4 linked regions of the Saccharomyces cerevisiae S288C genome follow. Changing the gene in region 1 together with any one later gene gives a genetic interaction. Each region holds a gene or a part of one and is shown in the gene's direction. Other genes may lie near its edges. The genes, in order: FYV8, CWH43, SEC63 and DED1.

Region 1 (8,400 bases):
CTTTATCATGTAAAGGAAAAGAATAAAAGGATTTTCGACGGTAGTTTTAAAATTTTCTGCTAAATCCTGAATTTGATTGAACCTGAGTTTTGCGACGATCAAGCTGATGTATTCGAAAAGAAGACCGTTTGATTCGGGAGGGATCGTATCCACGTGGGCCAGTAGTTCTTTGTAAAAAACATTTTGCATGATATTTATGTCTTGCGAAACTAGACCACGGTAGTACAGGTTTTCTACGATCAAATACCTATCATACTGCTCCATAAGTGCTGTTTTTTGCGATGCAGTGTTATTATGAATTTTCAACGAGTGCAGCAAGCACCGCTGCGATTCCTGAAATTGGCCCCTGTGGAAGAAAAGAATACCGAGGCAATTGAACAGAATTTTCTCCACTAGTTTTGTAATCTCCGGATAGTCATTCAACTCCTCCATCATACTCATATTCTTTTCTAAATTTTGACTTTCCTTCAGTAAAACATCACAAACTGGTTTTGCAGGCCCATTCGATCCAATAACATGGTAATGTAGTCTAAACTGTAAGTTAAGTACGGAATCTAAACTATCAAACCCTGAATTGAAGGTGCTGCCACCTAAGAGTCGCGCTCTTAGCGCTTGGTCGACCACATCTATTATCTTCGATGGAACAGTAGGAGGAATCCGAACATTTGAGTTAGGCATTGGGCAAGTTGGTATTGAACTTCTTTCCAGCTGGCGTGTTCAACTTGTTCCTTCCAGTATGCCACACATTATGCCTTGCACACCTAAAGCACATATTTTCGTTATTTTTCACCACAATAGGTGGATCTCGAAAAGGATGGAAAATCAGGAAAAAGAAATGTTGAGAAAAAAATAAACCGATTCCCGTTTAGTTTTCTCCTATTTCCGTGTATATGCGTGGTTATTCGTTTTCGAATCCTTTTATGAATGTCCGAGGAGGTGGTACAATCCGAAATAGACTAAAGAAAAGCGAAAGCCGTGAGTTTGTTTGATGATAGATGACTCGCAGCTTTGTCATCAACGGGCCACCCTATTCGAAGAAGGGAATGGAAAACGGACTGGCGTAGTCAATAAGCGTCTTCATATCTTAGCATTGTTGAGAGATACATAGTGTACTCCATATCGTTCTTTTTTTTTGTATATATCAAGCCACATATCCTGTTTCTTTAATCTTTTATACGCCGTAAGAATCGGGTACTGACATAAGTGTAAGTAGCCGTACAGAGAACAAATATGACTAAATCGGTTGGTGATGAAGAGTCACAGTACATTGAGGACCCTAGTTTTGCAGCAGCAGCTGCATTTACTGGCGGCAGGGACGGGGTTTCGTACAGTAATCAGCGATTTGCTGAGGGTTCCGGCCATTCTTCTGACTTAGCAAAGTCATTAGAAGACTATCGGCCTCCTGATGAAAAGCCGTCCTCATTGTCATCTGTGGGGGAAGGTGGCGCTAATGAGGAAGAGAAGGGCGGTAACGACGGCGGTCCCTTGGCAAGAATTCAAACAGGGCTTTTTTCTCCAAGACTGCGAAATCATAGGAAAAAGATTCTCTCGAAGTTTGTTTTGAACAACTTCTTCATTGCTTGTGTGTGTGTATCGCTCATATCGATTTACTGGGGTGCCTGTTACGGAACAGATCGTTACTTTTTCAAAGTGAAAAATATTGTTGTATTGCAGGATGCGCCATCTAATACTTCAGTTCAATCTATTTCCGCGATCATACCCTCATTGTTAGCGTCTGTCCCCGGGACATGGCATATATACAACGCAACATCATTTCATAGGAAATTTGGTACGACGAACTCCACCGAAATTGACAGAAAGATAGTCGATTTAATTTACGATGAGAGATACTGGCTGGCGTTAAACGTTAAACCTAATGCTACAGACACTTTGTATAATTCTTTGATTAGCCAAGACGCAAACTCGGAGTTCAATTCATCAATTTTTTTTGAATCCGTGTTTGAAAGTGGTCGTGACCCATCGAGTGTTAAATCGACCATTCTACCACTCATGCAACAATTGGAGGTCCGCCTTCAGAAATATTACGTCAAGGAATATCTTCCCTCATTGATGAGCAACATCACTTCTAATGACAGAGATCTTAATATAAACATGGAGAACTGGGCGATTGCAGGACAGTTGTTGTTCACCTACAACGATTATCGTCCCTTTGCTGATCGTATTCTAATGGCCCCTCTGCAGGTCGGTCTGATTTATTGTATTTTGTTAACCGTTTTACAACTGTCATTATATGGTAAGTTGCACGGAGAAATGGCCAGAGTTCTGAAGCCAAAGCATATTTTAATCTACAGGCTTCTAATTTCCTGGGCAACTTATTTTCTTCTTTCCATTGGATTCTGTACCGTATCTGCAATTTTTAGGATCGATTTCACCCCCGCCTTTGGCAGAGGAGGATTCGTAGTATATTGGATGTCTACGTGGTTGGTAATGATGGCTGTTGGTGGTGCCAATGAAAACGTTCTCAGCTTAGTTATAGCTTACTGCCCTCCATACCTGAGTATTTGGTTGATGACGTGGATCATATTAAATATTTCTGCTTCATTCTACCCAATGGTTTTGAACAACGAATTTTACAGGTACGGCTACATAATGCCAATCCATAATGCCGTGGATATCTATAAAGTGATTTTTTTGAATTTAACCAAAAGAAAAATGGGAAGAAATTACGGTATTCTCGTGGCATGGGTTGCCCTCAATACATCCTTGATGCCATTTTGTATGAAGTTTGCAGGTAAAAAAATGCAAAAAAATGCTATGCAAGCAGCAGAAGCCGCTGTCGCAGCAGCTACCCAGCGTGCTAGCCGCCCGGCAGAGGCCAATACTGATAAAAATAACAACCCGCCCGGAAATTAATGGGTAGGGTTAATAGCTTATTCATATATACACTTAATACGATTAAAAATTATTTATATTCTCATCATCATAAGATGAAGATGCAAATATCACAACAATTATATAACGTCGTTTGTTTGTTTGGTGACACATTAGTGTTTCATTCCGGGTAGCTATTTTGTTTTTCTCATGCCAAGAATTCTGTAAGGCACTTAAAAGTATTCCTAAATACCACTTTCATACATGGTTAACAAGGTAAACACAAAACTTGCATTATAGTTAAAAGGGACTGTTTGATCATTACCCTTTTTCTGGAAAGCGGATATTTATTATGAGCACTGAACAGGTCGGTAGAAAGAAATCGTATAGATGGGTTAGCGCATCTCAAGCAAGTTATGACGGCGCTGGATGGGACAGTAGTGACGAATATGACTACTCTTCCGAGGATGGCACAAAAGGTTCAGAAATTCACAAGCAAAAAATATCTAATTTGCCTAGTTTACCCAAGCTCAATTATACAGATGTTAATGGTGAGCATGATGAAAATACGGGTGAAAATAAAGACAGCAATGATAATAACGTCAGTAAGAGTGATATTAGTCCTAGTGACAAGGAAGTAGGCTATCTCTCAGATGGGGTGCCTAAACTTATGGCTTCAAGAGAGTCTGTGGAATTACAAGCGAAAAAATCCAGCGAGCACTCCAAATCAGATTATCTTTCGTCGACAGCATCTTTGAAAAGTCCAAGTGAAAACAAAAAATCACCACATACAAATAGGGCTGTAAACGAAGACCTAGACAATTTGATAGAGCAAATATCAAGGGAGATGACACCAGAAATTAGGCAAACATCTGATTTTCGGCGTGATTCAGACAGTTGTGACGAAATCCAAAACGAAGCACCATTAGGGGAAGCGGTACCCTCTTCATCATCTCCTGTAGAAGAAGATGAAAAATCACATTCCTTAGGGGTTTCAATGGATACTAATGAAGCTGATACCACTTTCAATACGCCAACAAGGAATGGAAATGAACATTTGAGTAGTGATGGCGATGTTTCTGAGCAGAAAGACGACGAGTTTAAAGTTTCCGAAAGAGGCTACCTTGCAGATATTCTGCCTGCGGAGAAAGAGGAGAATTTACAACAAGAAGATGATGGTGAAGTCGAGAGCTCAGGAGCTTTGGAAAAGAAAGAAAAAAGTGAAGAAAAGACTAGTATTAGGAATAGGAACTCTACATCTAGTGGGCAAGATAAAGTAGCAAAGCCGAAACCCGTAGCAAATGAAACAAAAACTAGTGATAATGGATATCGAAATTCTTTTTTCAATGATTATCAGCATTCGTCAGACTCTGAAGAAGATGATAACAACGAAGGCAACAGTGGTAGTAGTGATGATGATAATCGATCTTCGGTTAGTGATAAACATGCTGATATTAACCGGCAATCGAAACAACTTGATACAACTGACGATGATGCATTGTCGTATACCGAATCAATAAAATATTCGACAAATGAGACAGAAGAAGAAGATAATGAAGATAATGAATCCATAGAAGACAAAAACGAAGATAATGAATCCATAGAAGACGAAAATGAAGATACAGATAGCTATAAATTTTCTAATAGGGAAAAAGGTTCCATTCTACTTACGAGTGATGAAGAGGAGGAGGAAAAAGGTATGAGCTCTGATTCAGATGAAGGCAGTCTCAAGGCGCCCAAATCAGGTTATTTCTCCAAAATGATTGGTAATGATGATAAAGGTGATTCAGCATTGCAACCTAATCAAATAGACACCATTGAAAATACCAATTTGTCAAATAGCGGTTCTGAATTGGAAAACAGCGATGGCAGCGATGAGGAAGACCACATAAATGAAGACAAAGTTTTGGAAGAAAGTTCAGTTAAAGACTCCACTGATGTTGATTCTTGGAAGCCGGACAGTGAGGCCTTACGATCAGGGTTCGTACAGGATACAGCCAATAAGAAAGCGCCACCAGGTTACGTGATCGATTCTAACGGGAAGCTAGTAGATTTAACACCTGCTAGTATGAAACCACGTGTTGTATCGACTTATTCAGAGATGGAGAGTACTTGGGATGCATTCCCTTCCAAAGGCGAAGATGACGATTTGGAGACAATCAGGGACACTAAGACTATATACGACAACAATACGATTTATAATGTTCCCGGTTTGATTGGTAACCAATCGAATTTGCCACCTCTACCGATGGACGCACAGGAACAATTAAATGCAGGAAACGATAATAGTACAACAGATAATGATAATAGTAACAATACTGCCAATGATTTGGCAGCGCGCAGTGCATCTTTCAAAAGTGAAAACAGAACAGTATCTCAAGGCGAAATGACAAGCGTCCATGAACCCAGTACTGAAGAAATGGCGAAATTGGGGCAGCAGAATAACTTACCGAAATTAGATATGAATAAACTACTGAACAGTAAGACTTCGCACGCCGGTAAGATAGAACAGTTGAGAAATTATAAGCGTGAGCTAGATGAATATGATACGGGGATACAAACATGGATAAATTATACGCTAAAATCATCCTCTAATAAGGATAAGGATTTCATAGCTGAGGAGTATAAGCAGCATAGTCACGTTAGGGAAGCATATGCGAACGCGGACGATTTGAGTAAGAAGCATACTGTCATTAACACGGTTGCTAGTGTCAACCAAAATGTAACGCACTTAAGGAGAAAAGTTTTCCAGCATTCTATGAAACCAAAGGATTTATTCGCATCAATAGGTAAGAAAAAACTGTAAGCGTTTTGCTTTACGGTAGAAACACGAAAATGTAAATGCGTTCAATTTTCAATTTTACTGTTTTTTATGTACTTTTATATAAACAGTGGCAATTAATGGCGTTTTTTATTCTACCTAGCAGAGGCGTTACTGACTCTTTTCTGAGCATGTTTCCTCAGTTCTTCATCCATCAAATCTCTTACCCTATGAGCACCTGCGATGCCGATGGCAAGAACGTTCTCTAACCTATCTAACGGAATTTTGTCTTCCACCAATAAAAGAGAAAGTTTTTCTGACTTCCCTACCACACCTAGTGTCACTGTACTCATAGCATTTTCTTCTAATGAATTGGTATCTAATAATGGGGTAGTATCGTACAGCCCGACGGATATACCACTTATGTAATCGAACATTGATATACCGGCATCTATTAAAGCGAGGGTAATACCGTTGATTAAAGATCCCATAATACCGCCATCTTGCTCAAGGACATGGATCTCGATATCGATAACTGTTCTGGGGTAGATATTCAGCATGACATTCTTCTCAAACATCCTCACCAGGGAGGTTTGTATCTCAAGAACACGCCTTTCATTCTTGTGGCTTGATTTACTTCTTTCGAATTTGGAGAATTTTGTAATGTTTACCGATACGTTCAATAAAGCCTTTGAGGTATCCATTTGAGATTTCAATCTTGGCTCTTTTGGACCTTTAACAAGAGTGATAATTTTGTTGTTACCTTGTTCCATGTAGGATGAACCGTCTGCAGCGTGCGGATGTGTGTTGATGGAACTTTCAAAACGGCGGAGTTCATTCCATCGACGTCCATCGAGACGTAGCCCTTCTGGCGAGTATATTTCTAGTCTTGACATATGATGATCCTGCTGTAGTTATGGCACTAAAGTTTTTTTGTAAATCTTTTTATATGTTAATAGATTTTACCAGTGGGACCCTGGAAAGAAAATATGTGTAAATGATGTTTTCTTTTGGATGATGTTCATTGCACAATGGTTCGCAATGTCATTCATTCATCCATTTCTTCTAGCTTTTCAATTATTAATGCCTTAAAATTTTTCAATTTCACCGCGTTACCCGAAGATGTAAATGTACCTACTCAAATAAAAGGTTCCTTGCTGGTTGGCTTTCGTAGCTAAATTGAGTGCACGTTACAAGATTATAAATGCGTTTATATATATATATTCCAGTGAATGATCTACTTTTGCTTAAGCGGCAGAATTGCAAATCTTAATTTTTCTTTTTTGTTTATGTTTTATTTCCTTGTGACAAATAAAATTTTTTTCTCTTCTGAATTTTTAAAACTAAAGAACAAAATATTAAAATAAACAAACAATTCTCCACTTTTTCTTCTTTTGGTATAGAAACTGATAGAAATGTCCTAGACCCTTAATAAGCAAAACACTCATCATTATAACGGGAAAAAATTTGAAGCAAGCTCAAAAGAGATATATATATCATCCAGCATAGACTACTATTAATTTCTATCATAATTGCAATAAAAAAGGAAATATTTAGGGGATCAAGACCATTATTCCATCAGAATGGAAAAAAGTTTAAAAGATCACGGAGATTTTGTTCTTCTGAGCTTCTGCTGTCCTTGAAAACAAATTATTCCGCTGGCCGCCCCAAACAAAAACAACCCCGATTTAATAACATTGTCACAGTATTAGAAATTTTCTTTTTACAAATTACCATTTCCAGCTTACTACTTCCTATAATCCTCAATCTTCAGCAAGCGACGCAGGGAATAGCCGCTGAGGTGCATAACTGTCACTTTTCAATTCGGCCAATGCAATCTCAGGCGGACGAATAAGGGGGCCCTCTCGAGAAAAACAAAAGGAGGATGAGATTAGTACTTTAATGTTGTGTTCAGTAATTCAGAGACAGACAAGAGAGGTTTCCAACACAATGTCTTTAGACTCATACTATCTTGGGTTTGATCTTTCGACCCAACAACTGAAATGTCTCGCCATTAACCAGGACCTAAAAATTGTCCATTCAGAAACAGTGGAATTTGAAAAGGATCTTCCGCATTATCACACAAAGAAGGGTGTCTATATACACGGCGACACTATCGAATGTCCCGTAGCCATGTGGTTAGAGGCTCTAGATCTGGTTCTCTCGAAATATCGCGAGGCTAAATTTCCATTGAACAAAGTTATGGCCGTCTCAGGGTCCTGCCAGCAGCACGGGTCTGTCTACTGGTCCTCCCAAGCCGAATCTCTGTTAGAGCAATTGAATAAGAAACCGGAAAAAGATTTATTGCACTACGTGAGCTCTGTAGCATTTGCAAGGCAAACCGCCCCCAATTGGCAAGACCACAGTACTGCAAAGCAATGTCAAGAGTTTGAAGAGTGCATAGGTGGGCCTGAAAAAATGGCTCAATTAACAGGGTCCAGAGCCCATTTTAGATTTACTGGTCCTCAAATTCTGAAAATTGCACAATTAGAACCAGAAGCTTACGAAAAAACAAAGACCATTTCTTTAGTGTCTAATTTTTTGACTTCTATCTTAGTGGGCCATCTTGTTGAATTAGAGGAGGCAGATGCCTGTGGTATGAACCTTTATGATATACGTGAAAGAAAATTCAGTGATGAGCTACTACATCTAATTGATAGTTCTTCTAAGGATAAAACTATCAGACAAAAATTAATGAGAGCACCCATGAAAAATTTGATAGCGGGTACCATCTGTAAATATTTTATTGAGAAGTACGGTTTCAATACAAACTGCAAGGTCTCTCCCATGACTGGGGATAATTTAGC
Region 2 (8,875 bases), on another chromosome or scaffold:
TTTTAGTTCACATTTTAGTAACAGTATTTATATTTTTAAGTCACTTATTAAACGTAATTTTTCATAATTAAAGAGCCTTGTTGGCGCAATCGGTAGCGCGTATGACTCTTAATCATAAGGTTAGGGGTTCGAGCCCCCTACAGGGCTTTCTTTTTTCTTGGAAAAAGAAAGAAACTACATTACATGTGCCGCAAGCGCAAGTAACAATGTTTATAGCTTATCTAACGGGGAATGTATTTTAAATTCAAACAACTTGAGTTATTGAAATTATGAGTGAACCTTTCCGTCATACTCATTGCATTGCGCTCAAAATCTGCGAACGTATCGCACCAGCTATCTGAGTATAAAATAATAATACGCTTCATAATATATACTTTTTGGAACAAGTGGCCATTAATAGTGATATAGGATTGCTGTGTAAATGCTAATATCACATATAGATGTACATCTCGTATTACATGTGAATGTGCCTAATGTGGAAGGAAATTTCATACATGCAGTTCAGGTAGTAATGAAACCGATTTAAGATCTATTAATTGAACATTGATATGGTAGTTATACAAGAGTTATATTAATTATCACATTAACTGTATAGTAAGCTCCAAACACACATAATATTGATAATAAATAAGATGAAACAGTTGGCGATGTTTTATATCCCTCGCTTATAGAAGCATGAGAAGATTCATACTTAACCTTCATATTAATAGTACCTCTTCATCTCTAACTATGAATATTATTAAAGTAACTGGGAATGTGAAATTCTGTGATCACAATTTTCCTCTAAAAATGTTTTAATTTCAAAACCACACAAAAAATCCACCTAAATGGTGGGCTTGGTTATTGTCATTATATGGTATCTAGAAGACCTTGTCGTTATGGAGATATTGACGAAAATGGGGATACTGTTGGGATTCTATTTTTGATAACGGAAAAGTGTTGAATATACAGAGAACCCAGGAAGTTTTCCTCCAGGTTATAATATCCTTAAAAGATAACCGGTATTTCCACTTTATGTTATTATTATTTCTTCTCCTCATTTTGTACTTTATCATTAATCATCCTAAAACGTTTTCAATCATTGCGCTTCAGCTTTTATTAAATATAATAAATATTTCACAACTCTATGACATCTTTTTATATTGTATATGATAATGTACAAGTAATATTCATACTACCCAACAAAAAGATAATTGATTTTCTTTCCAATAACTATGTATCCTCTTTGTATAAAATGTTTCTGTAATAAAGAAATTTGCGGTGTAGAACCGACTTTTCTAAATGCATATCTTTATTTTCTCAGAACCTTAATTAGTAAAACTCTAGTGAACAACAAATACTCAAATACTTAAAAGATGATTAAAAATGTGGGCAAAAAAGCTACCGGTAATTGACGACGTCAGTTCCATTATTATTAATGGACAGTTCAAAAAATTTAATAGCGCCGCTCGGTTTCGATCCGAGGACATCAGGGTTATGAGCCCTGCGCGCTTCCACTGCGCCACGGCGCTCAACATTACAATCTCTGATGCTTTCACGTAGATATATGAATAGTTTTATTCTACTATTTTATCCTACTATGATATATATCTAGGGCTTGATGTCTTCACAACAATAAAATTGAATATTGGGTGATATTTTGATAATTTTTGGCATTCCATTGTTGATAAAGGCAGTAATATTATGTATACAGAATATACTAGAAGTTCTTCTCAAGGATATAGGAATTCTCAAAATGGAATCGGTATTTCTACATAATAATATTTTATTATTCTTTTTCATTTTATACGTTTCATTATCCTATTACATTATCAATATTTGCATTTCAGCTTCCATAACAGTTGATGACTGTTTCTCAATCTTTACGTCATCTTTTTACACCGCATGTGATAATATACTAGTAACACGAATACTACTAAAAGATGACATTTTAGAGCTTCAATCCAACAACTTCTCAGTGATGTGGCTTTCGACATTTCATATTTTTTTGTTCGAGTCCTTTTCAATAAGTGATAGTTGATGCTTATTCCAAATATTCAATATAAGCATTTATATCCTTACTACCATATCAACATGTAAATATTGATAGCCACTTATTCCAACAGAATCGGATAAGCGCTATTTTTTTTTATTAAAGCCTTCCCCTCTCTCATCGCCAAGAATTCTATTGTTTCTCCTAGACCCTGCTTTCGCGGCGCGGTATTCCTGTGCCAGCGGTAAGGGTTCAGTCATTGTATTATGTAGAAGTATCGAATGTGACACAAACATACGCCACTAATATGAGAATGCAGGCGCGATAGCTTTGTAATGTTTTTCAGTTGTATCACAGTAAACTAGAGCGGATCCCTAAATAAGTATCATCAAGCTCGATACACAAAACTTTGAAATGAACTTCTTCGACTTTTAGACGCTTGTTCAAACTTTTATCAATGATGTTGTCAATTAAATAGACTTATATTGCTGTTTCATTGTTATCGCTTTGTTAAGAGGTTGCTAGGTAAATAACCAGACATTTACTATTGCTAGTATGCGATATAATAATTATGACAACTCTGGAAGTTCCTTCTTAACTAGAGTAGTTAAAAAGTCAGATATGGAGAAAACGTTATTATTAAATAGAGAAATTGATGACTGGAAGTCAAACGATAAAAAGAAGGCATATAAGGAACGCGGAAGAGTTTATGCAAGTTGCTCATTTATTGAAGTATCCTTTTCTCAAATAAGGGCTGTTGATGTTGAAAAAAAAATTGAGAATGCCGAACAACTAAGAGATCTTACAAGAAATATTGTTAAGAACAAAACCAGCTCTTTGAACGAAATTACACCCTCAAAGAATCGTGTAACTAGTGCATGCAATTCCGAGAGACGTACGACTAGCCAAGAAGCAAACAATCTTGAAGGCTACCATAGTTGTGCACAAGGAACTAGTCGGTCTGCCAGTATTACGAAGAAATACAGCAAAAAGACTACTAGTCGTCCTAAAAGAGAAAAGAGACAAACAATCCTCCCAAATGGTGAGATAAAGGAATGCTCTAAATGTAAAGACACTTGGACAATTCAATGGCGTAGTGGACCCGACCAAAACAGGGAACTTTGTAGTCCCTGTGGACTCGCCTATGGAAAAAGACTGAAGAAGGAGAATGAAAAAAAAAGGCAAGCAGCAGATAAAAGGATAGATCGAAACAATCCATAGTATCTATTTAATTCTTTCACCGCATAGATGATATTTTTCCACTAGGATATTCCACCTTTTTTTTTTCTAATATTGGCACTTCAGTTATAATGTATTTTCTTCGTCTTTGTTCTTATATTGTACTATTATTCATAATATTTATTACGTTTTATATGGAGTTTCTTTTTGATTAATGGCTTCCTGCTAGTATTACTATATGACTATAGCAACAAACTTTGCAGTTAGTTTTGTTGAGATTGTATGCTCAATAAGTTTAAGTGAACTTCTACAAGTTGTACCTCATTTCTCGGTTTTGAAATTAAGTATTCTTGGTTCAGGTTTGCAGTTCTTTTTAATGTTGTTTTTTACAATCAAAGTATGCTCATCGGTATATACAGAAGTGCCAGTTTGGGATTTTTGAGTCCCTGAATATGCGCTTCATGCTTTTTTATTATGTAAAGTTAGTTCGGGTAAGAAGTAGTAACCAAAAAAATCGCAACAATAGATTCTCATTCGCTTTTTGACTTGGTAACTTATAATTTCTCCACAGTATTTGCACCCTTTTAATGTCCGATTTCTCGAGGAATAAGTAACCAGGAATACAGAAGGTATCCACCGCCAGTTATGCTGATCATCAATGGGAAGATCATCCCTATAGCTCATACTATTTGTGCATTCTCCGCCTTCTTTGCAGCTTTGGTCACTGGTTATTCATTACATTTTCATAAAATTGTAACCAATGCACATTATACGTATCCAGATGAGTGGTTTCCTAGTGTATCAGCCACTATCGGGGACCGCTATCCGGAACGTTCTATTTTCCAAATCTTAATAGCTCTAACTGCTTTTCCAAGATTTTTACTGCTACTAGGTCACTACTACTTGAACCAATCTAAGGTATGCTTCCTTGTCGGTGTACTCCGGACAGTCTCTTGCGGTGGTTGGGTATACATTACAAGTACAGATGACCACGATATTCATGATATATTTATGATCACATACATTGTTTTAACGTTACCATGGGATATAATGATTACCCGCTATTCTAGTCCTTTAACTTCGAAGAACAAAGGGTTGACTGCTACAATTTTTTTTGGAACATTGTTCCCGATGATTTACTGGTACATTCAGCACTCCGTCCAACAGAGAGCTGGGGCATATTCTATATATGCTTATTTCGAATGGTCTCTGATTCTTTTAGATATTGCATTTGATGCATTTGCTTACGCTGATTTCAAAAAGATAGATATTGTTCTCGCTTTTAATGAGAAACCCGGTAATACCAGTTTTTTCCAAATTAGAGACTCTAGTCCCATAAATTATGGAGAAGAAAAAAGTTCAGAATTGCAGAAAAGTGGTGAAAAGAAGGTTGAAAAGGAAAAACCCGTTGCTAGAAGCGCAACTGGTTCATATTTCAGGTTTGACTCTTTTTTTTACTTACTAACAAATATTTTTAACGGTTTTCTTTTCTGGTCGAACGTTACGTCCCTGTTATGTAGTATTTGGCATTTCCCGCTATGGTATATGGGAATCTCAGGTTATGAAGCTGCAATATTGGGTTATTTGGGACCCATTTTCTTATATCTGCCGTTCGTTTCTGAAGCCTTCACGCAATATGGTGTACTTTTAGGAGGTATTATTGCCATTGGTGCCTATATTGTTCAGATGCCAGAATTAAGGTTGATTTCTGTAGCTGTGGGAACTTCCATTACCGTTGCAACGTTTGTACAAAATCTAAGATATATCACAAATGCGGAGACTAGTTTCTCTTTTGCTCTAACTTGGCTGTTAGGTCTTGTTGCATCTGTGATCTTGAAAATGGGGTTCTATACCAACAATCCAACTTGGGTCATTTTAGATGAACGTAATGGTGGGTATAATAAGACAGCTCTCGTGCTTACTGTTTTATTCGGCATGCTGTCGCCTTATGTTAATTCAATTAATTTCGAAGGGAAAAGGAATGCTCAAGCAAAATCTGCTTCGTTGATTGGCAAATTATTTTTGGCTGTTGGTTTTGGCTCGTTGTTATTCGGAATTCATCAGTTATTGACGGATTCTTCTACTACTATTTATTGGGCATGGGAAGGTTACAATGAATCACACGGTCCCTTGCCATGGCCTTGGGGCGCCTTAACTTGTACGGTCATGTTATTTGCTTCTTTGAGTTCTGTGAAGTTTATGGGCAAGCCATTAGTTCCATGTTTGTTGCTTCTCATATCCACTGCTGTACTTTCAGCTAGAAGCATTACACAATGGCCTAAATATATTTTCGGTGGTTTATTGTACGCTATCGCTATGCTTTGGTTAGTTCCTTCGTATTTTTCTGCATTAGGCCAAGTTCAAAACATATGGGTTTATGTCCTATCATTCTCCGTTTATATTATCTTTGTCCTTGCCCATGTTTGGGTCGTTGCATACGCATTTGTTCCAATGGGCTGGGTACTGAGGGAGAAGATTGAGACGGTTCTTGCCTTTTCTTCCACATTTATCATTATTGGTGCTTTAACATGCAAAAACCTTAACATTCAACTGGTGACTATGGGCAAAAAATTCTTCATTTATGTTTTCTTCTTTGCCGTGGCCCTGCTATCACTAACAGCTAGGTTCGTGTATGATATTAGACCTACAGGAATTCCTCAGCCTTATCATCCAGATTCTCAGTTGATTACAGCTGGTATTTGGACTATCCACTTTGGTCTCGATAATGATATGTGGGCATCTGAAGACAGAATGATCAACCTTATTAAAGATATGGAACTAGATGTGGTAGGTCTACTAGAAACAGATACACAAAGAATTACCATGGGGAACAGGGATCTAACTAGCAAACTAGCTCATGATTTGAATATGTATGCAGATTTCGGACCAGGTCCAAATAAACATACCTGGGGCTGTGTTCTTCTTTCTAAATTCCCTATCGTAAATTCTACGCATCATTTATTGCCCTCTCCAGTTGGGGAACTTGCGCCAGCCATTCATGCCACACTTCAAACGTACAATGACACTCTCGTTGACGTCTTTGTATTCCATAGTGGACAAGAAGAGGATGAAGAGGATAGAAGACTGCAAAGTAACTACATGGCTAAGCTCATGGGCAATACGACTCGCCCAGCTATTTTATTAAGTTACTTAGTTGTTGATCCAGGTGAAGGCAACTACAATACGTACGTTAGTGAAACATCCGGAATGCACGACATTGATCCTTCTGACGATGATAGATGGTGTGAGTATATCTTGTATAGGGGCTTGAGAAGAACAGGATATGCTAGAGTTGCAAGAGGAACGATAACCGATACGGAGCTACAAGTTGGTAAGTTCCAAGTTTTGAGTGAGCAAGCGTTAGTAGAGCACTCGGATTCTATGTATGAATACGGTCATATGAGTGAACCGGAATATGAGGACATGAAATTTCCAGATAAGTTTTTAGGCGAAGGTGAGAGGGGTCACTTCTACCATGTTTTTGATGAGCCACGTTATTACTTATAAGAGGCCGTAAGGTGGTTTTATAAATCAGTGTAATCACATTGTGTGTACTGAAAATCTTGATAACTTAAGGTAAGTTATGTATCCACCTGATTTTTTTGACCTCGAATTTTAAAAATTTATGTGATTTCTTTATGTATGTTACTTAGACGATCTTGTTATAGTTTTGTAAGAAATTATACTTCCTGAAACGATTTATCCCGCTACTTTTTGAGCGTATTTCACAGTAAAATATATACTACAACTGAACAACGTTGTTGAACTCTATGTTAAACATCAACGAAGAAATTCTTAAGTTCTATCTGCTCCGAGTCATCATTCTTCCAAATTTCTAGTAATTTCAGACTTCTTTGAACAAGCTCTTTATTCGGCATTTGTACTTCCTCTTGCTCGTCTTGTACCTCTTTTTGCTTCCCTTGTTCGGCATTACCGTCTTTTTCACCTTCTTCTTTTTCTTCACCATTAATTGGTTCGCTAGCCTTATCCTCTGCAATTAACGCTTTTATTTTTGTTTCTTGATCTTCCACATAGTCGTTCCATTGCTTCAGTTTTCCTTTGCATTTTGATATTAGTTCTTCTTTTGATTTACCTTGTAAGTCCCTGAAATATAAAAGCAAAAGATCATTATATACTGAGGGGATTTCGTCCAAGTTGAAAAAATGCTTAATAAGCCAATTTTGCTTTTGCTTGGAAAATTTCCAAACTTCAACAACACCAGACTCTGATGGCTCGTCTTTGATCAGGGAGTCGCCGTAATTTTCTTTTACACTTTCCAATTCTAGGATTCCGGTGGGAAACTTGCTCTCAGACTTTGTCCTGAAAAATTCTATCAGGTAACGTAATTGATCTTTAAGAATTTTATTTTTTTTCGAATTCTTTTCATCCTTTGACAATTTTTCCTTCTTCTTCGTCCCTGGTTTCGACACACGCTTCCCTTTTTTGGTAGAGGATTTGCTCTCACCATTAATGATTCTTTTTTTCTCTTTCTTTGTCAAATTACCAGTGGATAAATGCGTAGTGATATTTAGTGGATCATCATCTATTAGATTGGATTGGCCTTTTTCTTTACTTTCGTCACCACTGCTTATAGTCTGTCTCTTCAAAGCAATTCTTTTCCAGGCAGGAACGTGATTTTCGGACATTTAATTGTGAAGTGAATGTTTCTTCTGCTTGTAATTTGTCGATAAAGAAAGCACTTATGACAGTACTTTGATATTTGAATTTAGCTCATCTCTTTTCGTTCCTTTTTCTCGCTCGAAAATTTTCAATAATTTGCAGTAAAAAGGCGATGCCAGTAAAAAACTACCTGCAAAGGGAGCGTTAGACATATCTTTTATTGGCGACAAATATTTTTAGCGATATATATCCGTAAAGATCTGGCGATATTCTTTATCACTCGATGATAATAAATTCTTTTACACTTTGCTATTTTCCATGAGAACGGTTGGTATTCCTGTTCCCAATAACAAAAGCGTTTGCATATTTTTATGGTGAAGGTACTATCAACTGTAAAGTATGTACAATAGATTTATTAAAGGGAAACACTTTTCGTAGTAAGAAAAGCAGGTTTATAATTCAATTGTTTTAAAGCTGAATAATGCCGTGGTGTTAAACTACGACCGAGCTATAGCAACAGCATCGGCCACACACTCTCTCTTATTCTTATGTTAATAGTCGACCTTTCAAGGATGTTCTTGTTGGAATAGAAATCCACTATCGTCTATCAACTAATAGTTATATTATCAATATATTATCATATACGGTGTTAAGATGATGACATAAGTTATGAGAAGCTGTCATCGAAGTTAGAGGAAGCTGAAGTGCAAGGATTGATAATGTAATAGGATAATGAAACATATAAAATAGAAGAAGGGATAATCGTAATATTAGTATGTAGAAATATGGATTCCATTTTGAGGATTCCTCTATCCTTGAAGAGAACTCCTAGTATATTCCGTATACATAATATTGTTGCTTTTCTCGAATCATGTATCAAGATTACTAGCGCAAGTGGTTTAGTGGTAAAATCCAACGTTGCCATCGTTGGGCCCCCGGTTCGATTCCGGGCTTGCGCATCTTTTTTACTTTATATACTATTTTTTTTTTTTTTCTTTTTCCCAAATTTTTTCATGAAAAATTTGGCGGAACGGTACATAAGAATAGAAGAGATTCGTTATGAAAATTTTCTACTCTCTTTCACATTTTTTTTTTCATAAGAAT
Region 3 (7,549 bases), on another chromosome or scaffold:
TCCATTTCTGGCAAATGGAATTCCTGTATCTGTAATATCTTCTGATTCTACGAGAAACCGTGACACCCCAACTGAAACATCTGAGGATAAATTTGAACGTGTTGAGAAGATTCTGGAAGACGAACAGAACCAACAATCTGTCAAGGATTTGCTAGTATATCTTTTACATATTAGTATGGAATTGATTGATGACCCGCTACTTCATTTTGACATAATAAGCTATGTTGAAGATATCGATGAAAGATTGCAAAGGTTAGAGCAAGCATACCCTGAAAAACTAAACTTCACATCAATAATCAAAGGTTTGTTATTTTGGAAGAAAATCGGTAGCGAATGGGCGTCATGGACTCAAGGTTGGGAGAACATAGTATGGTCGCATGGGGATGGTATAGAGCCCTCCTTACTTTCAATTAATAGGTGGACATGGAATAAAAAATTGACTAATATTGGTAGAAGAACATGCTCTCCGGCGGGTCTACCTAATAGATCATTTTATAAGAACGTTTTGTTCGGACCAACATTGATACAGGAGGATAAATCTAAAAATGGTGGAAATGTAGATTTCTGGACATTTCCAGGAGTGATGGATGCGATTTACGATGATGACTGGAAGAGGGCTCAAGAACAAATTGACCTTATTGGCAAAGTACTCCATCAGTCTGCTGCATTGTTTGTCGAAGAGACTAATGACATCGGGTATAAATAAATTGAACTGAAAGAATACATATTGTAAGTATAAGGAAGTATGTTAATAAAATTTTTTCTTTAATTATGTAATACATGGCATGCAAGCATTTCTTCTTTTTGGGATGCTTTTCCTCTTAGTATCCTATGTTTGTATATATCTTTTTGTTAAATGACACGAGAGAAGGAGACAATAGGATAATTTTGAAATTTCTGTATCACAATCGTATCTAGTTTCTTCTCTACACCTTTGTTTTGACGCGATGTTTCCTCTTCAAAAAGCTTCCCAAGCAACTTAGATTTTCCAATCTCCTGATTATTTCGTTTTTCTTTAGAAGATTTTTTAGAATGCCTGTGCAAAGAGTGATAATCTTTAACTCTCAGGGAATGGTCGTCACAAAATCTGATATATACCGAAGAGACTTCTTCTTCTACATCCTCTTCAAGAACACTAGGCCTAGTCTGCATCTTATTACTCCTACCCCCTAATTTGTCACTTCTTATAGTATTTTTATCGTGAAATATTATTTTAACATCAGCATGGTTTGCTGTGACTTTCTTGATCTTTCTAACGGTTTCTGCGCACTGTTGGTGTTCAACTTTGTGGATGCTTCCGTCTTTTCTCTTTAAATTATTGCCAAAAATTTCATTGTGATAGAACCTTAGGGCATATTTTCTTTTGCTTAATTTTAAACGAGACAAATTGTTCCTTTGCAGTACATATACCCTTGGTGATTCTTGGCAACCCTTGGGAAACCTTGCAATCAGTAGTGGTTTCTTTTTGGAACTTCCTGGACATAGTCCAGACGGTTCATTTATCATGTCCTCAATGTGTATTTCGGAGAGGGGGCTCAAGTTCCAGCGAGTATTATATTGGTGAATGTGAAGTTTGTGGACATGCCACCTCCTCTTTAATTTCCGGCCACTGAACAGTTGACACAGTCGAAAATATAGGTAAAAAAAATGACCAGATTTGGACTTTCTCGGTGAAGGTGGTGCTCTCATGCTTCTTTTCTATTTTGAGTTATTAACGTCTTAGCTTTATAATGTCACAATCTGACTTCATTACTGACACAATCGCTCTTATAACGCGAATTGGTCACTCGTTACGGAAAGGCGTTTTCTGAAAAATTTGTCTTGAACACGTCGAAGATCACTGAACGAATAAAAGATGCGACTGGAACAATAGTCAGTTATAATTGACCAAAGAAGGCCTTCGCAACAAAATAAATATACTGCATATTACAGCACAATGCCTACAAATTACGAGTATGATGAGGCTAGTGAGACGTGGCCGTCCTTCATTTTAACGGGGCTCTTGATGGTCGTCGGGCCTATGACACTGCTTCAAATATACCAAATTTTTTTTGGGGCCAATGCTGAAGATGGGAATTCAGGGAAGAGTAAGGAGTTTAATGAGGAAGTTTTCAAGAACTTGAATGAAGAATACACCAGTGATGAAATCAAACAATTTAGAAGGAAGTTTGATAAAAATAGTAATAAGAAGTCCAAAATATGGAGCAGGAGAAATATTATAATTATTGTGGGTTGGATCTTAGTTGCAATTCTTCTGCAAAGGATTAATAGTAATGACGCGATTAAAGACGCTGCTACAAAATTATTTGATCCTTATGAAATCCTTGGTATCTCTACTAGTGCTTCCGATAGAGACATCAAATCTGCTTATAGAAAATTATCTGTTAAATTTCATCCAGATAAATTAGCAAAGGGCCTAACACCTGATGAGAAAAGTGTGATGGAAGAAACTTATGTTCAGATTACGAAGGCTTACGAATCCCTTACTGACGAATTGGTTAGGCAAAACTATTTGAAATACGGTCATCCAGATGGCCCACAATCTACTTCACATGGTATCGCTCTACCAAGATTTTTGGTAGATGGAAGTGCATCTCCATTATTAGTGGTTTGTTATGTTGCGCTACTAGGTTTAATCTTGCCATATTTTGTTAGTAGATGGTGGGCAAGAACACAATCGTATACTAAGAAGGGAATACATAATGTGACGGCTTCTAATTTTGTTAGTAACTTAGTCAATTACAAGCCATCTGAGATTGTCACCACAGATTTGATCTTACACTGGTTATCATTTGCTCATGAATTTAAACAATTCTTCCCGGATTTGCAACCAACGGATTTTGAAAAACTTTTGCAAGATCATATTAACCGCAGAGATAGTGGTAAACTTAACAATGCGAAATTTAGAATAGTGGCCAAATGTCACTCTTTGTTACACGGTTTATTGGATATTGCTTGTGGATTCAGAAATTTAGATATTGCATTGGGTGCAATCAATACTTTCAAGTGTATTGTTCAGGCTGTACCATTAACACCAAACTGTCAAATCCTTCAATTGCCGAACGTAGATAAAGAGCACTTTATTACCAAAACCGGAGATATTCATACATTAGGTAAATTGTTTACTTTAGAAGATGCCAAGATTGGTGAGGTTCTTGGAATAAAGGATCAAGCAAAGTTAAACGAAACTTTGAGAGTTGCATCGCATATTCCAAATCTAAAGATCATCAAGGCAGACTTCCTTGTCCCAGGTGAGAACCAAGTAACACCATCATCTACCCCATACATTTCTTTGAAAGTACTGGTTCGTTCTGCTAAACAGCCATTGATACCAACTAGCTTAATTCCTGAAGAAAATTTAACAGAACCTCAAGATTTTGAATCTCAAAGAGATCCATTTGCTATGATGAGTAAACAGCCACTCGTCCCATATTCCTTTGCACCATTTTTCCCTACAAAGAGACGTGGGAGTTGGTGCTGTCTGGTAAGTTCTCAAAAAGATGGTAAAATACTTCAAACGCCAATTATCATTGAAAAGCTATCTTACAAGAACTTGAACGATGACAAAGATTTCTTTGATAAGAGGATAAAAATGGATTTAACCAAACACGAAAAATTCGATATAAATGATTGGGAAATCGGGACCATAAAAATTCCATTAGGTCAGCCTGCACCTGAAACTGTTGGTGATTTCTTTTTTAGAGTAATCGTTAAATCCACAGATTATTTCACTACAGATTTGGATATTACCATGAATATGAAAGTTCGTGATTCTCCTGCAGTGGAACAAGTAGAGGTGTATTCTGAGGAGGATGATGAGTACTCTACTGATGACGACGAAACCGAAAGTGATGATGAAAGTGATGCTAGCGATTATACTGATATCGATACGGATACAGAAGCTGAAGATGATGAATCACCAGAATAGATATAAGTGATTAGTATAGTTTTTCATTTTAGCTCTTAGACGTATATATTTCATCTTTATAAAAATAGATACATGTGTATACAAAGCAAAACCAAAAAAAAAAAAAAAATTTTTCAGCCATCTGTTAAGAAATGTGTTTTTTCAATAAGATAGCATCTTGTTCGTCGCCATTTACACCTTTTATGAAATTGTTGACAGTTTCGCCCACTTGTTCGAAGCCATGAGCTATAAACCATTGCTTTGTAAGATCATCCACTGCTGGTAAATAGACAAACACGTTATGTTGATGACATTCTGAGCATTTGTCTTCTGCAAACTTCAGTAATTTTGAACCGATGGATTTGTGCCTATAATTAGGCAACACGCCCAAAAATTCGATTTGAATGCCCTTGAGAGATAGTTCGTTTTGTTTTTTAGGAACTAATTTAGCAACCAAACCACCCACTGGTATTTCACTGTAATAAGCCATCTGTGTGAAATGTACATCCTTCTTCGAAGATGGCTTTTTATTTTTTGCAACTAAGCTATCCTCAGCGAATAATGCACTGAAGAAGGCATCTTGATATAAGTTTGGTACTGTCACATGAGCTAGTTTGGTTAGCATGCCCAAATTGTTAGCGTAAACATTGTCTAATGTGCATATATCACGGCCCATATTTCGCACTACTCCCTTCAATTGTCTTTGCCAATTTGTTTGTTACGGATTAATTTGTGAAAAAGCTTCGCTAATAATATCAATTTTCTTTTTTTTCTTTGCTTTTTCTACTATAATATACATAAAATTATATAAAGAGCATATAAACCATAAAGATTCCTCTGCGACACTTCTTATTCATTTCCTCCAACGACTTGTTCACCTTTATCATTAATTCTGATCAATCTTAGAGTATTCAAAAGGCCAAAAGTGCCATTCCAGTTTCTTAGAAATTCCATATTCTTCGCATCACTCAAGTCTGGACAGAGAAACCCCGCCTTAAATTCTTTTAACTCTTGATCCCTCCTTTGTTGCAGTAGCACTTGTCTATTGCTTGGTGGCCTGTTTGACCTCCTCTTCTTCTTGAGTTCGTCTAATTCCGTATCATCTCTTTCAATAAAACTTTGAATAAACTCTCTTGTGTGGGCGTGATCAAATATTGGTTGCCCTTTGAATGTATCAGAGTTAACTACATCCTGCATAAATTTTACCCGAGCTAGTTCGTGGACTCTTTTGTCTTGATGAAGCTTCTTTTTGGCTGCGATTTTATCTTCACGCATAGTAGCCCTGACCAGCTTTTCATACTTTCTACCCTTCGGATGAACCGTGATATTTTTCCCTTTCTTGGATAAGTTCTTTTGCAACTTAGATAAAGATTTAGTAACCGGCATGATTAGTTTGTCGTGGTAAGTCCTGTTCCGATACTTTTCTTCTTAGAAAGTACCTTTAAAGAGCTCATCTCTCATCTCGTCTATTAAACCATTTTAAAATTTTCGCTCGGGATGTTCAGCTGTGTACAATAATACAGCGTAAGTGCATTCAAACAATGAGGACAAAAGCATAAAGTTGTGAAGAAAATTGCCCATACATTCAATGCCATTATTTGATCTTATTTCTCCAAAAGCGTTTGTTAAGTTAGTGGCCAGTGAGAAGGTTCATAGAATCGTTCCAGTTGATGCAACATGGTACCTACCCAGTTGGAAGCTTGATAATAAAGTGGATTTCTTGACCAAACCACGTATACCAAACTCCATTTTCTTTGATATTGATGCAATCAGTGACAAAAAATCGCCCTATCCACATATGTTCCCTACAAAGAAGGTTTTTGACGACGCTATGAGTAATTTAGGAGTTCAAAAAGATGATATATTAGTGGTTTACGATCGTGTTGGTAACTTTAGCTCCCCTAGATGTGCTTGGACATTAGGAGTGATGGGACATCCTAAGGTGTACTTACTAAATAATTTCAACCAGTACAGAGAGTTTAAGTACCCTCTAGATTCCTCTAAGGTGGCAGCGTTTTCACCCTATCCAAAGAGTCATTATGAGTCCTCAGAAAGTTTCCAAGACAAGGAGATTGTAGACTATGAGGAAATGTTCCAATTGGTAAAGAGTGGGGAACTGGCTAAGAAATTCAATGCTTTCGATGCAAGGTCGCTCGGTAGATTCGAAGGTACAGAACCAGAGCCTCGTTCCGACATTCCATCGGGGCATATTCCAGGTACCCAACCATTACCATATGGAAGTTTACTTGATCCGGAGACCAAAACGTACCCAGAAGCTGGGGAGGCGATACACGCTACTTTGGAAAAGGCATTGAAAGACTTTCATTGCACTTTGGACCCAAGTAAACCAACTATTTGCTCTTGTGGAACTGGCGTTTCAGGAGTCATTATCAAGACAGCATTGGAGCTAGCAGGAGTTCCCAATGTTAGATTATATGATGGATCCTGGACCGAGTGGGTCTTGAAATCCGGGCCCGAGTGGATTGCTGAAAACAGAGATTAATAAGAGAAATATATTCTTGACAAGTCGATTTATTTAGCTACATATATTAATTATCTATCTACTTACTTAAAGGGCGATCTCCCTTTCTTTGTCTTATTTGTGCTCTTCATTGTTATTGCCCGGTAAAATAGAAAATAACAGCAAAAAATAAGACTGCTGGCAAAAATGAGCAGAGACCTTTCTATCGAGGGAAAAGAACAAACTATTAATTCTTTTCGAAATTCCAACACGATTAAACCATCATGGCAAGTCTACCTGGTATTGATGAGCATACTACCTCTGAAGAATTGATAACTGGTGATAACGAATGGCACAAGTTGGTTATTCCCAAGGGCAGTGATTGGCAAATTGATCTTAAAGCAGAGGGAAAACTGATAGTCAAGGTAAACTCGGGCATAGTTGAGATATTTGGCACCGAGTTGGCAGTAGATGATGAGTACACTTTTCAGAACTGGAAGTTTCCCATATACGCTGTCGAAGAAACAGAATTATTATGGAAATGTCCTGATTTAACTACGAATACAATAACTGTCAAGCCTAACCATACTATGAAATATATTTATAATCTACACTTCATGTTGGAGAAGATACGAATGTCTAACTTTGAAGGCCCTCGAGTGGTGATTGTTGGTGGTTCGCAAACCGGGAAGACTTCCCTATCGAGGACACTATGTTCTTACGCTTTGAAATTCAACGCTTACCAACCACTATACATCAATCTTGACCCTCAACAGCCCATTTTTACTGTTCCTGGATGCATATCTGCCACCCCAATATCAGATATACTTGATGCACAACTACCCACTTGGGGTCAGAGTCTCACTAGTGGTGCCACACTACTACATAATAAGCAGCCAATGGTGAAAAATTTTGGCCTGGAAAGGATTAATGAGAACAAAGATCTATACCTTGAGTGTATAAGCCAGTTAGGTCAAGTAGTAGGTCAAAGGTTACATTTGGATCCTCAAGTCAGGAGATCAGGGTGCATTGTCGATACGCCATCAATATCACAACTGGATGAAAATTTGGCTGAACTGCACCATATCATTGAGAAACTCAATGTTAACATTATGCTAGTACTATGTTCTGAAACGGATCCTCTTTGGGAGAAAGTAAAAAAGACATTTGGTCCAGAATTG
Region 4 (7,861 bases), on another chromosome or scaffold:
GTGCACCCCGTAATTGGTCAACAAGTTTAATCTGTGCTTGTCCACCAGCTCTGTCGTAACCTTCAGTTCATCGACTATCTGAAGAAATTTACTAGGAATAGTGCCATGGTACAGCAACCGAGAATGGCAATTTCTACTCGGGTTCAGCAACGCTGCATAAACGCTGTTGGTGCCGTAGACATATTCGAAGATAGGATTATCATTCATAAGTTTCAGAGCAATGTCCTTATTCTGGAACTTGGATTTATGGCTCTTTTGGTTTAATTTCGCCTGATTCTTGATCTCCTTTAGCTTCTCGACGTGGGCCTTTTTCTTGCCATATGGATCCGCTGCACGGTCCTGTTCCCTAGCATGTACGTGAGCGTATTTCCTTTTAAACCACGACGCTTTGTCTTCATTCAACGTTTCCCATTGTTTTTTTCTACTATTGCTTTGCTGTGGGAAAAACTTATCGAAAGATGACGACTTTTTCTTAATTCTCGTTTTAAGAGCTTGGTGAGCGCTAGGAGTCACTGCCAGGTATCGTTTGAACACGGCATTAGTCAGGGAAGTCATAACACAGTCCTTTCCCGCAATTTTCTTTTTCTATTACTCTTGGCCTCCTCTAGTACACTCTATATTTTTTTATGCCTCGGTAATGATTTTCATTTTTTTTTTTCCACCTAGCGGATGACTCTTTTTTTTTCTTAGCGATTGGCATTATCACATAATGAATTATACATTATATAAAGTAATGTGATTTCTTCGAAGAATATACTAAAAAATGAGCAGGCAAGATAAACGAAGGCAAAGATGACAGAGCAGAAAGCCCTAGTAAAGCGTATTACAAATGAAACCAAGATTCAGATTGCGATCTCTTTAAAGGGTGGTCCCCTAGCGATAGAGCACTCGATCTTCCCAGAAAAAGAGGCAGAAGCAGTAGCAGAACAGGCCACACAATCGCAAGTGATTAACGTCCACACAGGTATAGGGTTTCTGGACCATATGATACATGCTCTGGCCAAGCATTCCGGCTGGTCGCTAATCGTTGAGTGCATTGGTGACTTACACATAGACGACCATCACACCACTGAAGACTGCGGGATTGCTCTCGGTCAAGCTTTTAAAGAGGCCCTAGGGGCCGTGCGTGGAGTAAAAAGGTTTGGATCAGGATTTGCGCCTTTGGATGAGGCACTTTCCAGAGCGGTGGTAGATCTTTCGAACAGGCCGTACGCAGTTGTCGAACTTGGTTTGCAAAGGGAGAAAGTAGGAGATCTCTCTTGCGAGATGATCCCGCATTTTCTTGAAAGCTTTGCAGAGGCTAGCAGAATTACCCTCCACGTTGATTGTCTGCGAGGCAAGAATGATCATCACCGTAGTGAGAGTGCGTTCAAGGCTCTTGCGGTTGCCATAAGAGAAGCCACCTCGCCCAATGGTACCAACGATGTTCCCTCCACCAAAGGTGTTCTTATGTAGTGACACCGATTATTTAAAGCTGCAGCATACGATATATATACATGTGTATATATGTATACCTATGAATGTCAGTAAGTATGTATACGAACAGTATGATACTGAAGATGACAAGGTAATGCATCATTCTATACGTGTCATTCTGAACGAGGCGCGCTTTCCTTTTTTCTTTTTGCTTTTTCTTTTTTTTTCTCTTGAACTCGAGAAAAAAAATATAAAAGAGATGGAGGAACGGGAAAAAGTTAGTTGTGGTGATAGGTGGCAAGTGGTATTCCGTAAGAACAACAAGAAAAGCATTTCATATTATGGCTGAACTGAGCGAACAAGTGCAAAATTTAAGCATCAACGACAACAACGAGAATGGTTATGTTCCTCCTCACTTAAGAGGAAAACCAAGAAGTGCCAGAAATAACAGTAGCAACTACAATAACAACAACGGCGGCTACAACGGTGGCCGTGGCGGTGGCAGCTTCTTTAGCAACAACCGTCGTGGTGGTTACGGCAACGGTGGTTTCTTCGGTGGAAACAACGGTGGCAGCAGATCTAACGGCCGTTCTGGTGGTAGATGGATCGATGGCAAACATGTCCCAGCTCCAAGAAACGAAAAGGCCGAGATCGCCATATTTGGTGTCCCCGAGGATCCAAATTTCCAATCTTCTGGTATTAACTTCGATAACTACGATGATATTCCAGTGGACGCCTCTGGTAAGGATGTTCCTGAACCAATCACAGAATTTACCTCACCTCCATTGGACGGATTGTTATTGGAAAACATCAAATTGGCCCGTTTCACCAAGCCAACACCTGTGCAAAAATACTCCGTCCCTATCGTTGCCAACGGCAGAGATTTGATGGCCTGTGCGCAGACCGGTTCTGGTAAGACTGGTGGGTTTTTATTCCCAGTGTTGTCCGAATCATTTAAGACTGGACCATCTCCTCAACCAGAGTCTCAAGGCTCCTTTTACCAAAGAAAGGCCTACCCAACTGCTGTCATTATGGCTCCAACTAGAGAGTTGGCCACCCAAATTTTCGATGAAGCCAAGAAATTTACTTATAGATCCTGGGTCAAGGCCTGCGTCGTCTACGGTGGTTCTCCAATTGGTAACCAACTAAGAGAAATTGAACGTGGTTGCGATCTTTTAGTCGCTACTCCAGGTCGTTTGAATGACTTGTTGGAACGTGGTAAAATTTCTTTGGCCAACGTCAAGTATTTGGTTCTAGATGAAGCTGATAGAATGTTGGATATGGGTTTCGAACCTCAAATTAGACATATTGTCGAAGACTGTGATATGACTCCTGTTGGTGAAAGACAAACTCTGATGTTCTCAGCTACTTTTCCCGCTGATATCCAACATTTGGCCCGTGATTTCTTAAGTGACTACATCTTTTTGTCTGTTGGTAGAGTCGGTTCTACTTCAGAAAACATTACTCAAAAAGTCTTATACGTTGAAAATCAAGATAAGAAGTCAGCCTTATTGGATCTATTGTCTGCATCCACTGACGGTTTGACTTTGATCTTTGTCGAAACTAAGAGAATGGCAGATCAATTGACCGATTTCCTGATCATGCAAAACTTTAGAGCTACCGCCATTCATGGTGACCGTACCCAATCTGAGAGAGAACGTGCCTTGGCCGCCTTCAGATCTGGTGCCGCTACTTTATTGGTTGCCACAGCTGTCGCAGCTAGAGGTCTAGATATTCCAAACGTCACCCACGTTATCAACTACGATTTACCAAGTGATGTCGATGATTACGTCCATAGAATTGGTAGAACTGGTCGTGCCGGTAACACCGGTCTTGCCACTGCCTTTTTCAACAGTGAAAACAGTAACATTGTTAAAGGTTTGCATGAAATTTTGACTGAAGCTAACCAAGAAGTCCCATCATTCTTGAAGGACGCTATGATGAGTGCTCCAGGTAGCAGAAGCAACAGCCGTAGAGGCGGTTTCGGTCGCAACAACAACAGAGATTACCGTAAGGCCGGAGGCGCTAGCGCAGGCGGCTGGGGCTCTTCAAGAAGCAGAGATAACTCTTTCAGAGGCGGTAGTGGCTGGGGTAGCGATTCCAAGTCTTCTGGCTGGGGTAACAGCGGTGGTTCAAACAACTCTTCTTGGTGGTGATTTCAGACAAACTAGGGTGAGGATTCTTCGTTTTCTGCTCTAGCATGTCTTATATTTTCTTTCTCCAATCACTTTTTTTATCCAAGTCCTGAAAATACTGTGTTGTTTGTTTCTCTCTAGCCGTTGATTGGCCCCATATTTTTTTTATTTTCTCACTGGGAGCCACTAATCTGTTACTTTTTTTCCACTCTTATTTTTTATCCATCGTTTTTTTGTTTTTTTTTTCTTTCATGGTTCTAATATTATTTTACAATTGTACTATAAAATGCCTTTGCTAATATTAACTAAAAAACTAAAGATTTCACTATGATTATAAGCAATTAAGATTTTCATCTTTTAGTGAAAAGATGAAGGAATTATTATCTACTTTTACTATATTTTCCACTATTTTTGCTTAATTGCTTTAACCGATCTATTCATTGGACTGATTATTTACATTATCTTTTATTTCCACTTCCACTTTTTCAGTTTTCTTCGAATAGAGACTTTATTTTGAACAGTTTTTTCGACCTTTTTTGTTTGTTATTGTTTCTTTTTACCTTACGAAAATATTCTTACTGTTCACAGTACCATTGTATAATAGTATTCATTTCCTTCCTACATTTTCTCTCCCTTTTTTGAGTTGAGGCCTTTTTATTGACTCGCCTTATACTCTACTTTATTTGTGTTTTGTAGATAGAATAAACATCAACAGTATAATTCATAATACTTTCTATTGCTTATTTCCTGTATATTCGTTTTTGAATATACTTTGTTCCCAACTTTCTTTTTAGTTTACTTACATTCATATTTACATGTGCGTTACTACTTATTGGTGCAACCAAGTGAACAGCGAGTCTTACCATTGGTAGTACCAATAGGGATTCTTTTTTTTTTCTAGGTGTTGAACCAAATCATAAGGATCATCGTCGACAAATCTTCTAGCAGATAAATCTTTCTCGGTTTTTTCTAAATACGACTTCTTCACTGCGTTCAAAGTATCAGCTTCATCCGGGGCCATCTCATACAGGGAACTGATGATCGGTCTATCTCTGGGACAGCTTGACTCTTTACCATTTGTTTCAATGTAACGCTGGTAGCCAGACTCAATCAAGTTTTCTAGCGGTTCCCTTATACCTACTTGGATACCCCTAGGTATCCATATCTCATGTAGTCCTTTGAACTCATACCTCCCAGTTGTCCTTAATAAAATATATCCTATATCTTTCAGAACGATCTCTATACTTCCAATAAATGGAGGTATTGCGTACCTTTTGTACTGGCTTTTTTCGCATATAACGCTTTTAATTCCACAATACCGTGATAACGGATGTGTGCCAGATGATGAATTGCACGAGTTGAATACATCAATACCTTTTTCAATGTTCTTGAATGTTTTTGATGGTCCTGGTATGTATTTCACAATCTGATTTATGGATCCTTTCGGAGGTACCAGGTAGAAAATCCCTCCCACGGTATAACAGCCTCCCTGTGATGTGCCCTTCATAGACTCATAAGTCTTCTGTTTTATATGCTTCCGATTGAATAAATCGGTTTTTCGCAGCCTTTGAAGCCAACGCTCGTCGATTAGTTCTTCTAGGCGTAATCTGGAGGTGGAAGTTGAATAGCCTGGAAGATCAAAAAGTATTTTACCTCCAACTTGGTAGGCTTGTACGGATCTAGTTAAATTGGGAATATGTGATACACCAGCAGCTTGAATCTTGAAAAAATTCTTCGGGTTCGTAAAAGCTTCTTGCATCACTTCTTCAGAGGGGGAGTTAATTTTCCCAGTAGAATCAATTTTAACCTTATATCCAAGATATTTCTGTAGTAGAGTATTGATCAAAGTTGATTTACCAACATTAGGGTTGCCTAGCAAATATGTGTAGTTTTTAAAGTAGTTGTAAAACATGGATATGTTCCAGTTTTTCAGCGCAGATATGGCGAATGTTTTATTTGAGTCAATTCTTAAAGTGTTCTTTAAAAATTGCTTCATGAATATAGGAACCTTTTTGCTGACAGCATTTTTATCTTTAAAAACTTGATCGCTTTTCGTTAACACTAATGTAGTATCTAAATCATTTCGTTTCAAAACATTGGGGTCTAAATGTAAGGGAAATTCTACAAAGGGGACAATATGCATAACATTTGAGCCTCTGGGGACGTAGTTCAGAATATCATTTAATGTGCTTTCGGGAAACTCTTCCGGGTTATAATTGTTATGATGAAGGGCATTACTGCACCTTTTGCAAATCACTCTCAATAGTAAATCTCTTTTGGTTTTGAGGTCAGGATCATTTTGAGTTGCCTGTTTCGAGAGCTGTATGTCTTGACTGAATAGCAAATACTTCAGATCTTGGAGGTCAGGATTTAGTTTTGAGTCGGGTAGACTTTTTGGCTTCGTATAATATCCTGGTTTACTAGGATCCTGATCCTGTAGTTTTATGGAACATGACGCACATTTCACTTTCACAATCACAGAACAGGAAAACTGACGTACGCCTCGAAGAGCATGACACAGATTCAACATTCCCGCATATTGAATTGTTCAAAGTAATTAGACGTGTTACTAGGAAGGTCCTTCGTTAATATTGCTCTGTTAAATGTATCTTGACCCATAACATCAAATAGTAGTTATCATCTTCGACGAGTTTTGAAAAATTTTCTGAATTTTTTCTTCCGATGAGATGAGCATGATATTTACAGAGAAAATAGAGAAACAGAATACTTGTACATGGGTAAATTCATTTATACTAATTTTTGAATTGTAAGAGAGATAGAGAAGGTCAACAATAGAATAAGTGGAGATGGGTAAAGTTTCTAAATCGACCAAGAAGTTTCAATCGAAGCATTTGAAGCATACTCTAGACCAAAGAAGAAAGGAAAAGATCCAAAAGAAGAGAATCCAAGGCCGTCGTGGCAACAAAACTGATCAGGAAAAGGCCGATGCTGCTGGTACTAGGGAACAACAGCAGTTGAAAAAATCTGCAAAGGAAGAGGTTTTTAAGGACATGTCTGTCGAAACTTTTTTTGAAAAGGGCATCGAAATTCCAAAAGAGAATAAAAAATTGAAGAAAAAAACTACGAAAGAGCAATCTGATGAAGATTCCTCCTCTTCCGAAGAGGAGGAAGACATGGGACAAAGCATGGCAAAGTTGGCCGAAAAGGATCCCGAATTTTATAAGTATTTGGAGGAAAATGATAAAGATTTATTGGACTTCGCAGGTACCAATCCATTGGATGGAATTGATAGTCAAGATGAAGGTGAAGATGCTGAAAGAAACAGTAATATTGAAGAAAAATCTGAACAAATGGAGCTGGAAAAGGAAAAAATTGAGCTTTCTTTGAAATTGGTTAGGAAATGGAAAAAACAACTTCATGATTCTCCAAGCTTAAAATTACTAAGGAACATAATCAGTGCTTTCAAGGTTGCTGTAAATTTGAACAAGGAAGAAAACATCGAAGACTATAAATATGCTATCACTGATGAGAAAGCATTCCACGAATTGATGTTCATGGTCTTGAAAGATGTACCACAAGCGATTCAAAAGATGGCCCCATACAAGATTGTAAAAGGCGCAAGGACCTTACCAAATGGAGGTAACGTCTCCAGGGTCTCGTCCATTGTCAAGTCGCATGCTGGCTCTTTGTTGATTTTATTGAATGATATTACTAATACGGAAACAGCAGCATTAGTTCTTCATTCTGTCAACGAATTGATGCCTTATCTTTTATCATACAGAAGGATCTTAAAGGAGCTTATTAAATCAATTGTTGGAGTATGGTCTACAACGAGAGAATTAGAAACCCAGATTGCTTCTTTTGCCTTTTTGATCAATACCACCAAAGAGTTCAAGAAGTCTATGCTAGAAACAACCTTAAAAACAACGTACTCCACTTTTATCAAAAGTTGTCGTAAAACGAATATGCGTTCTATGCCACTGATTAATTTTCAAAAAAATTCGGCAGCTGAATTGTTCGGTATCGATGAAGTTCTAGGTTACCAAGTTGGATTTGAGTATATTAGGCAATTGGCAATTCATTTAAGAAATACAATGAACGCGACAACTAAAAAATCCAGTAAAATTAATTCCGCAGAAGCTTACAAGATTGTATACAACTGGCAATTCTGTCACTCCTTGGATTTCTGGTCTCGTGTACTATCGTTTGCTTGTCAACCAGAAAAGGAAAATGGCAGTGAATCTCCTTTACGACAATTAATTTACCCATTGGTTCAGGTTACTTTGGGTGTAATCAGATTAATCCCAACACCACAATTCTTCCCATTAAGATTTTATTTGATTAAATCA

What was found.
Region 2: mutations in FYV8 (region 1) and CWH43 together harm fitness more than expected from each alone (negative genetic interaction), as found in Saccharomyces cerevisiae (2 studies listed by BioGRID).
Region 3: mutations in FYV8 (region 1) and SEC63 together harm fitness more than expected from each alone (negative genetic interaction), as found in Saccharomyces cerevisiae (2 studies listed by BioGRID).
Region 4: mutations in FYV8 (region 1) and DED1 together harm fitness less than expected from each alone (positive genetic interaction), as found in Saccharomyces cerevisiae (2 studies listed by BioGRID).

The regions. Positions count from the first base shown.
Region 1 is NC_001139.9:886,971-895,370, reverse strand, and holds FYV8 (Fyv8p), read left to right. Parts: upstream 1-3,184; coding exon 3,185-5,638; downstream 5,639-8,400. Other genes in the region: YPP1 (Ypp1p), read right to left, coding at 1-678; SNG1 (Sng1p), read left to right, coding at 1,231-2,874; exosome non-catalytic core subunit SKI6, read right to left, coding at 5,749-6,489; XKS1 (xylulokinase), read left to right, coding at 7,496-8,400.
Region 2 is NC_001135.5:142,556-151,430, reverse strand, and holds CWH43 (Cwh43p), read left to right. Parts: upstream 1-3,796; coding exon 3,797-6,658; downstream 6,659-8,875. Other genes in the region: SRD1 (Srd1p), read left to right, coding at 2,528-3,193; RNA-binding ribosome assembly factor RBP95, read right to left, coding at 6,925-7,797.
Region 3 is NC_001147.6:801,411-808,959, reverse strand, and holds SEC63 (protein-transporting protein SEC63), read left to right. Parts: upstream 1-1,936; coding exon 1,937-3,928; downstream 3,929-7,549. Other genes in the region: TRE2 (putative zinc metalloprotease), read left to right, coding at 1-706; OSW1 (Osw1p), read right to left, coding at 853-1,689; peptide alpha-N-acetyltransferase subunit NAT5, read right to left, coding at 4,053-4,583; TMA16 (Tma16p), read right to left, coding at 4,757-5,293; TUM1 (thiosulfate sulfurtransferase), read left to right, coding at 5,496-6,410; cleavage polyadenylation factor subunit CLP1, read left to right, coding at 6,653-7,549. UniProt on the Saccharomyces cerevisiae protein: Acts as a component of the Sec62/63 complex which is involved in SRP-independent post-translational translocation across the endoplasmic reticulum (ER) and functions together with the Sec61 complex and KAR2 in a channel-forming translocon complex.
Region 4 is NC_001147.6:721,154-729,014, forward strand, and holds DED1 (DEAD-box ATP-dependent RNA helicase DED1), read left to right. Parts: upstream 1-1,757; coding exon 1,758-3,572; downstream 3,573-7,861. Other genes in the region: MRM1 (Mrm1p), read right to left, coding at 1-555; imidazoleglycerol-phosphate dehydratase HIS3, read left to right, coding at 793-1,455; GEP3 (Gep3p), read right to left, coding at 4,411-6,081; mRNA-binding ribosome synthesis protein NOC2, read left to right, coding at 6,359-7,861. UniProt on the Saccharomyces cerevisiae protein: ATP-binding RNA helicase involved in translation initiation. Remodels RNA in response to ADP and ATP concentrations by facilitating disruption, but also formation of RNA duplexes.